Linked DNA regions of Mus musculus. The protein of the gene in region 1 interacts with the protein of each later gene in a pairwise test. Links are inferred from orthologs where the notes say so. Each region holds a gene or a part of one and is shown on either strand. Other genes may lie near its edges.

Evidence for each region. The genes of interacting proteins can lie anywhere in the genome.
Region 2: the proteins of Sergef (region 1) and Dph3 interact in binary tests that used the Homo sapiens proteins (3 or more experiments, as listed by UniProt). The link is inferred for Mus musculus from reciprocal best matches to the Homo sapiens genes SERGEF and DPH3.

What each region holds. Positions count from the first base shown.
Region 1 is NC_000073.6:46,636,963-46,641,503, forward strand, and holds the start of Sergef (secretion-regulating guanine nucleotide exchange factor), read right to left. Parts: upstream 2,846-4,541; 5' UTR 2,811-2,845; coding exon 2,751-2,810; intron 2,732-2,750; exon of another isoform or gene 2,362-2,731; coding exon of another isoform or gene 2,299-2,361; intron 1,610-2,298; exon of another isoform or gene 1,298-1,609; intron 1,288-1,297; exon of another isoform or gene 1-1,287. UniProt on the Homo sapiens protein: Probable guanine nucleotide exchange factor (GEF), which may be involved in the secretion process.
Region 2 is NC_000080.6:32,082,853-32,087,296, forward strand, and holds the start of Dph3 (DPH3 homolog), read right to left. Parts: upstream 2,841-4,444; 5' UTR 2,666-2,840; coding exon 2,558-2,665; intron 2,435-2,557; exon of another isoform or gene 2,130-2,434; coding exon 2,055-2,129; intron 395-2,054; coding exon 329-394; 3' UTR 1-328.

The sequences.
Region 1 (4,541 bases):
GGTGCTTCCAGCCACCTTGAGCTGCAGGACCCCAAGATGAAGAATGAGACTTGTGGGGAGCACAGGCTAAGAGGGTCTTTTGAACAATACAGTTCTAACAAGTGCATCTCTGCACACAGGACGGCCACCTTGAAGCCTCACAGCTAGGAGCATTCGCATCCATTGTACAGATGAGGAAACTGAGGCCTGGAGGCTCAAGTGATGATCCAGTTACACAATTGGATGAGTGAGTTAGAAATCCATTTCTTCCATTAGTTCTTACTGTATCCATAAGAAAACAGGTATGTATAGGGAACCAGCCCAGAGATTAAGTCACATGACTCTAGACCAGCAGTTTTCAAAATGTGGGTTGTGGACGCTTTGGCAAACCTCTACCTCCAAAAATAGTACATTACAGTTCATAACTGTAGCAAAATTACAGTTACGAGGAAGCAATAAAAACAATTTTATGGTTGGGGGTCACCAGGGTCACAGCATCAGGAAGGTTGAGAATCCCAGCTCTTGCCTATTGCTCACGTACATTGCCATTGCTTTGTCCCCTTTCTCCTCCTCTTTGTGTCATTCCTTGGCACTAGAGTGCATTGCTGGCTTGACTGAGCTACCTCCTCTCCTAGAAAGTCACCACCATGAAGGCAGGGACTTGGTCTTATAGCTATTCTCCTAACCCTGAAACTGCACTGGCTGGCGGACTGTGGATGTCAGACATAAATCTCTCCACCCTGGAATGCAACACTGTTTAAGTGCACTGTCAAATAACACTGTTACAAACAACACTGTTGCACAGAGTGAAGCAGAGAGTATATCCTGGGGTTTCTGTCTTCTCTAGCTACCCCATTACCAGGCTTTCAGGCTGCTGAACATCTAAGAGAGAAGCCAGGCTAGAGCAATCCGGGGTTCATGCTTTGTATCAACTTCTGTGGTGCAATAAGGGCCCTAAACCCAGGATAAAGCTAGGTAAAGAAAAATTTAATATACCCTATGACAACTGTGTATACCTTCCTTCTTTACAAAGGGTCCAGACACAGCGTGTGCATACACACACACACATACACACAAAACACAAAACCACTTGGAACAAGATGAATTGTGTTCCTTCAAAATGCCTATGTCAAAGCCCTAACCTCTGACATACCAGAATATGACTGTATTTGGAGACACACCTTTAAAAAGGTAATTAAAGTTAAATGATGAGACAGACCATAATCCAGTCTGTCTAGTCTCTTCCCAAGACACCAAGGATGCCCATGCACAAAGAAACAGCCACCTGAGGCCCCAGAGAAACCAAAAGTGCCCACACCTTAATCTCGGACTTGCAACTTCCAACACAGAGAAAATAAATGTCTATTGTCTAAGAACCCAGCCTGTGGTGTTTTGTCACGGCAGCGGCAGCGGCAGCGGAGGCCAACTAATACATGCTCCCTGATTACGCAGCAGGAGGAATACCCCAGCAGGCCTCCAAACACACTAGGTTCAGCCCTGGTTCTGTCTCTGTCCATTCAAGGCCACAGCTGAAAGGCTTTTCCTATCAGGTGTTTTTCCTCTGTCCAAAAAGACAGCAGTCTCCAGGCTGGAAAATGACAGCAACACATTCAGTTACTAACGCCCACCCCCACCCCACCCCCCAACCCCCACCTCCCACCCCCCCTGCCAAGCCTCGTTCAAGTGCTACTTCAAGGAGTTGAGCCAGCCAGCCAGGCCAAGCCATGCTCTCCTTTCTGACAGCCTTACACTCAACAAGTGAAAGGTATATAGATAAATTCTAATTTTGGCAAAAAACATAGCTGTTATGGCTTCCTCTATCACAAGAACTGGGAATAGCTATGTATTTCCCAAACATTAACAGATGGCTGTGCACACAAGTACTCATTCATTCGTTTCATTCGCTCGTTCATTCATTCATTCATTCATTCATTCTTTAGTCAACAAATATTTCCCTGGGGTCTACAAGATGCCAGGCACCAAGAGAGACAATGTGAACACCACTGGCTCAGTACTCGCTCTCAAGAACACCTCCGCTGTAGTCAAGGAGACTGCCGTTAACAAATCATGCATTCCATTACAATTTTGGTATTTAATACTAAGAACAGCAACACCCGACATATGCATGCTGTCACGCATGTCCCCCACACTCGTGGGTATAAAGCCTCCTCTCCAATCACACGGAAGGATGACCATAGGTCAGTCAAAGTGCAGTGTCAAACCTGCCCAGCCCAGACTTCCACACCCCCAGAAGAGAAAAGATTTGGTCACAGCCGAGTAACAGCAAATACGCAGGGTCTGTGCCTTGCGCGGCCATACTCCACAGGCCTCACATCCACAGGACGCTCCCCAGGGTGATGGCGCTGGAAAGAAGCCTTCCATCCTCCAAGCAAAAGGCAGGTTCGATGACACAGGTGGCCCCAGGAGCTCTGGGACCGAGATCTCTCTGCCAAGCCTCCACGCTGTCTTTCTAGGCAGTCTGGCGGCCGAGCGCTTTCCCAGAATGGATGCTTTGCTCTGGATGCAGGGTCCTCCCGAAGTGCTTCAGTCCCTCGGGTCCTCATCCCACAGCTAGCAGTAGGCCCCTCAGGCACTGCGGGGAGACCCTCCCTCCGCACCCTCTCCTCCTTGCTGCAACCCAGGATCCTCCAATCCAGGACCCTAGCTCGGGCCGCCGCCTCCCAGCTCCCTGCCACCCACGCAGACGCCGGGAGCTCCCGGGTCTCCTCGCCCCTTCGTCTCTGCCCTAGCCCGGGGGCGGAGCCACGTACCCAGGCGAAGAGCACAGCAGCGGCAGAGACAGTCTCGGAGGCGCAGGACTCCCGCGCCATGCACACGCTCAGCCGGCGCTTCCGGGAGGGCTGACGCGGGGCGGGGCCTCGGAGGCCAGGGGCAGGGCGAGTCCGGGAGCTGGGCGCGGTCAGCGGGATGGAGGCGGGGTAAAATTAGGGATTAGGAGGGGCTAATGGGACTGGAGCAAGACGTAGCTAGGTATGGTCCTGCCCTAGAGCGCCGGGACTCAACCAAAGCACTGTCAGCAGGCACCTCGCGGCCGCCAGGGAACACACCCGGAGGTGCCTTACTACACCCACACTCGTAATTCTGCACCATGTTCAGTAATCTGGAAAACTCGCCACCTGTCCCACGCTGCCCAGAGCAGATGACCTGACAGGGGTGCAACAGCACGGTGGGAAGGGACCTGAACTGAAGATGGCAAGAGTCCAGTCCTGAGTCTTCACGAAGCTACCTTGGCCCGCTTCGCTGTGCGTTTGGGAACCCGAGAGTCTTGGGGAGCCGTGTTAGCCTTCCACAGCGGAAACCCACTACTGGTGACACAACTGGGGCTGGCTATTGTCTGATGTGCCCCTGCGTTCTCCCTACTCTCCGCGGCCCCGCACCATCTGCCCTAATTCTAATCACGAGCATAGATAATTCTCATCCAAGATAGATTTTCATACAATACAGCTTTCTATCAACGTTGTCGTGATGTTGGTGAGAGTTTAGTAATACAGTGTACCAGTGCACACTGGGGGAAATGGAATTTGGAATCTGGAATCTGGAAGGAGGACAAAAAGATCATGTCCCATTTAAGGCGATGATCTGCATTCGTAGCTCTGGCCCCTGTACAGACAGGTCTCAAGGCCTCGCCTTCCTTTTCTTCCTAGACCCTCACATTGGAAAATGTGTCAGGGAAGCTTCTGTCTAGGTCTCACCTGTTCATGCTACTGACATGTTACTGTCTGCTGTGTCTTGTGAGGGAAGCCACCCTTGGTCTTTCCTCCTCCACACTGTGGTTTCTTGAAAAGTTTGGTGGTGGTGCTTAGAAAGATCCAGACAAGCCAGGCAAAGCTGCTCTTACTCCAGAAAGAGAAAATAGAAGCCGTGAGAGATTCCATGTGCTGTTCACCGGTTTGCTGTTGCCATTTTGATCACTTCTTTCCAGCCTGTTCTAATAGGAAGTCACAACAGGGTATAATAGAAAGGTGTCTTACCAGCAGTTCCGGAAGCAAGAAATGCCAGTAACTTGCACATTGCACGGTAAGGTGGACTTGTGCGGGTCTTGTGCATGCTGTCAACAGTCTCTGGTTTTACAGACAAAATCCCAGCACTGAAGAAGAGAAGTGGGCACAAAGGCCCCTCCCTGACGAAGAAGCTATTTGCAATCAATACTTCATGAGAAAGAGAAAACCAGTTGTCTCCAATGGGACGATTGGGCATATCAGTCACCCTCCTGGGTAGGTCCCATGCTCAGGAGTAGCTGACCAACATAAAACAGACTCCATGTTTCATGTGTGGTTTTGGTTGTCCTTGTTATGGTTTGGTGAGTGTGATGGTTTACATATGCTTGGCCCAGGGAGTGGCACTATTTGGAGGTGTGGCCTTGTTAGAGTAGGTGTGTCGCTGTGGACGTGGGCTTTAAGACCCTCCTCCTAGCTGCCTGGAAGTCAGTCTTCCACTAGCAGCCTTCAGATGAAGATGAAGAACTCTCAGCATCTCCTGCACCATGCCTGCCTAGGTGCTGCCCTGCTCCCACCTTGCTGATAATGGACTGAACCTCTGAA
Region 2 (4,444 bases), on another chromosome or scaffold:
AAATAAAAGACACTCAGGATTGAGGCGGATGATGTTATTTTCAGAAAATGAATTTCCAGATGTTCAAATGATGCAGCCGACTGAAGGAAAAACCACAGTTTATAATAAGGCTCTTCCTTAAATTCAGACGGACAATTAGGAATCCTTCCAGTCCCAGTATGGAATCCAGGGCTGGCATGTCATAGGCTCCCTTTTTCATGCTGAGTTCAGTGGCTGATGAAGATCACACCCCTGAGGCTGCCCATCGAGGAGGTTGGTAACTCTGCACTGGATCCATCCACCTGGGCTCAGCCCCCACGGTTCAGGATGTGGGTACCTGAGAGCCTCTTCAGCATTTAACTAACTCCTTGTTGGTTGAAGGTGCTGGGACTGTTTCTCCACACATGAACTGATCCTAAGAAGAAGAAGAAATGCTATTAGCCGCCGGGTGTTTGTCTCACAAATGCATTAACATTACTTTCCTTTGGCCACAGAATCAATCTGGCTATTAGTTTTTTTCACTGTTCTGTCATCTTGTTTTCTTTCCTTCTTTCTTTCTTTTAATGCTAGCAATGAAAAAAAAAATCAAGATGTGAAATTTAGGGGAAAATCCATTTATAGTATTATAAAAATGCCAACAAATTTAGTTTAAAATTTTTATGACTTACGTACCAAGAACTAACTGCTGCTCAGGGATGGTCTGTGCTGTATGGCCTCAGCCCTTGGTCTTCCTAATAGATATTAGTAGCTACCCCAGTTGACACAACTGGAAACAAAGGAACATTCAAAGACTTTTGGTTTTTTGTTTGTATGTAGGTATGTACCCCACATGTGTGGGGGGTGCCCGTGAGGGAAGAAGAGGGCACCAGATTCCCTGGGGCTAGAGTTGCAGGTGGCTGTGAGCCACCACTGTGGAAGATGTAAATGGCCACTCCTTTTGGAAGCTCTTAGCCTCTAATCCATCTCCCCAGACCCAATAACACTTTATTTTTGTACAGAGAGCTGGTGTCAGCACTAGAACCAGAATCTAAAAGTATACTGAAGTTTAGCCCTGAGGTCATTAGTTAATATGCAGTGTCTCATAAATATCTTAGCTAGGGAGCAACCAGTTCCCAGAAATAAACACATCACAACTATCAAGTTTTTATATTTCAGATCAATATCTGGTCATTCAAATATGTAACCTCTTCAAAATGAGTAATAAAAAGAATGCCTTTGTGTGTTTCCCAACATATACCTGCAACAGTAACTACTTGTAAATGAAGTTCACACTCTGATCTTTCATGCTGGTTTATGCCAGCTACCACAAAAACTTTCCCAGTTACTACACATCCTCTACAGTGTGATTCCCAAGGAGTCAGTCCCTAGTCTGTCCATTGTTCTTTGCTCCATAAACCATTTTAAAATAAGAATGAATCATTACATTTCTATTATTGTCTAAATTAACACCTGCTTCTCCCACAAAGTTCTGTGCTTTGGTCCAACTTACCCTATAGTCATTTTAGAATTTATCCTCTAGACTGTTACATTCTGTACTTAGACTCCAAAGCACTAACTGAGCTTTGGGTGGGAAGTAAAGATATTTACCCCTTTTCTATTGCCATTCCTAATGGATACAAAGGAACATGGAACTGTAACATTACATCTAGGAACTATATCTCAAACAAGGTAGATTCTGTACATAAGCTAGGCAAGCAATAAAATGCAATCTTCTAAAAATATCCTAGAGCTCTGAACAAACTAAATATTAAATACAAGAGAAATGTCAAAAGGAAGAACATCAATTAAAATAACCATAATTTTTCATTCCTGATTAAGTCATCAATTTTCATTACAAAGCAATTTCTTTATTGCCCTTTCCAAAGTGATCATAAGTTACATAAAAGGCAGATCTCTGTGAATTCAAGGCCAGCCTGGTTCACATCATGAGTTCCAGTATAGCCAGGGCTACTTAAGGTCCCTGTCTCAAAAAACAAACCAACACCCAACACTCTTCCGCCCTTTTCTATCAGACAGGCTCCTTTAGGCCCTTGTCATTAGCTCACACCACCCATCCCCTTTAACATATCCCTTACTTTGTCATAAATCACTTTTATAATGAGTGAGCAGCTAGGACACGTGGCCACATCTTCTCCATTTTCCAAATCTTCCTACAACGCAATCAAACAACATATGGTCAGCATAGCCTTTCGTCAACTTCCCATAAATCTCTCCTATGTCTATGGGCAAGTCTTTAGTTGGGTAACAACACAAAGAACTTTCCTCCCAAGTGTCATCTAGGAAAAAAAAACAGGGAGATTAGATTGGTTCGATCGCCTCCAAAACCCTGGGGTACAAAATCAAGTTCCCTTCTTCAAAGAAGCTCCCAGGGGAAAAAAAAATAGAAAAAAAAGAAAAACACTTAGGGGCGGGACTACGGAGAACAGCGCCCTTAACCCGACCCTGTATGCTAGACAGCCTAGGTTACTACTTTAGGGGCGGGGGTTCGGAAGAACACGTGGGTAACTGAGCCTTCCCAGGGACACCGGAAGCGACAATGCGCAAGCTCGAGGGATCGCCGGCGGGCCCTTTAGAGTACCTTGGTGATGGCAAAGTTATCCCCACAGGGGCAAGGGTAGAAATATGTCTCCGAGTCCTCGTCATATTGAAAGTCCTCGATCTCCACCTCGTCGTGAAACACCGCCATGGTCACCCGGTCGGCACCGCATCAGCTTGCCTACCTGCGCCCAGGCAGGGTAAGGCCCGGTCTTCCCGGTCCACCCTGGCGCAGGAACAGTCACTTCCGGACGCACAGGCGATGACGTAACTTCTACCGCCGCGGCCAAAAGGGTGACCCGGTCGCGGTCGCCATGGAGATAGCGCCGGAAAGATGGTGCTTCCTGCGCAGCAGCGTTGCGCAGTTCTCCGTCCACTGGGTGCCAGCGACCAATAGTGTGAAGGGCTCCCTCTCATGGCGGTTACGTCAGTCCGGGGCCCGGGGAGTTTGGGCTTGGGATATAAACGAGTTTTCTATGCAGGTGGAGTCTTGTCCTCCATAGCTGACTTCAGAGGACATTAAAAGAATTGGCGGAGGCTACGCCCTCTTGAAAGGGGGAATCATTGAGGCTCAGGGAGCCACACAGCGTCCTCTCCAGTTCTCGGCCCACAGCGCTCCTGCAATTGCGTTTCAGGCGACCTTGAACTCTGAGTGACTCTTGGCCTGTTATGAGTTCTTGCCTGCAGGTACATCACTGCCTCTCTCACCCCAGCCACTTTCTGATACCCCGGTTGTGTTGTAGAGAACCAAGATCTGCAAGACAGGGGCGAGTTCTAGCCATATTTTAAATATTCACTGCAGTGGTGGGCACAGTAGCTTTTAATTATTGGGGTTTTTAGTGGGCAACCTATATGTTAAACTTGATCTTGAGGTTCAAAAATCCATTTTATTCATCTTTAACATAGATTTAGAGACTGGGCATCTTGCCCAAGATTGCATACCTAGGCCATAACGATGAGCCTAGCTGTCTCTAAAGCCCAGGAACAAATTATTTATGTGAACTTTAGTTCTCGGTAAAAGGAATGGTGTTCCTGGTATTTTCGTCAGCGTGCAGCCTCTTCTTTGAGAAGCACGTTGTTCCGAGAGCCGTGCTGGGCTTGTTCCGGTTACAACCAGGGACTTTGGAGTAGTGCTAAGCAGTTACTCATCTCACTGGAGGAGTGCAGTGTAGTGAAAAGTAGTATGGCAGAACTGGATTCCAGTTTGACTTGAAGAGCTCTGGGGGTTGGAAAATTACATTCTTTGGTTCTTACATCCTCTTCTGAGAGTAGATCCTTTGGAATCTAACATTCTTTTGCACGAGAATGAATAGTTCAGCAGTCATGTATGACTTATGTAGTTTACATTTCTGTAACAGTGTTTAAGTATGTACAGTTGTGTGCATAAATTACCAATTTTGTGCATGTTTAAAGGACACTATATTTTGAAGCCTTTTTGAAGTGTGAAAACCTATGGGCAGAGAAGCCTTTGGGAGGAAAAAACCCAGAACTTAAGTGTATGGAAGGTTGTTTCAAAGATCTCCATTCCTTTTTTTTTTTTTTTTTTTAACATAATTGAAGATCTAAATAGCAATTAGGAGATCTTTGTAGCCTGTTGCAGGTTAGCTGTAGCCTGTCTGGGCAGAAGAGAAATGCAGTGAAAGCCTTCTATCTTTATGGGTATAAATACTTCCCAGGTAACCTCTGGGACACAGGAAGAAAACTGATTTCCAAGTGTCTGTCTTTAGTTCAGATGATCTTTAGTTCTTATGAGCCATTCTTGAATGCGCAGAAATGGATGCAGTTGTTGGTAGGGAATGGCCTGGCAAGTATATCGATCTGTAACCCCAGCATTGATGCAAGCAGGGGCAGAAACAGGTGGATCTCTGGAGCGCAGGGGCCGACAAGTTGGTGAGCTCCATATTGGGGAGGCTACCGGCCACACGAGGCT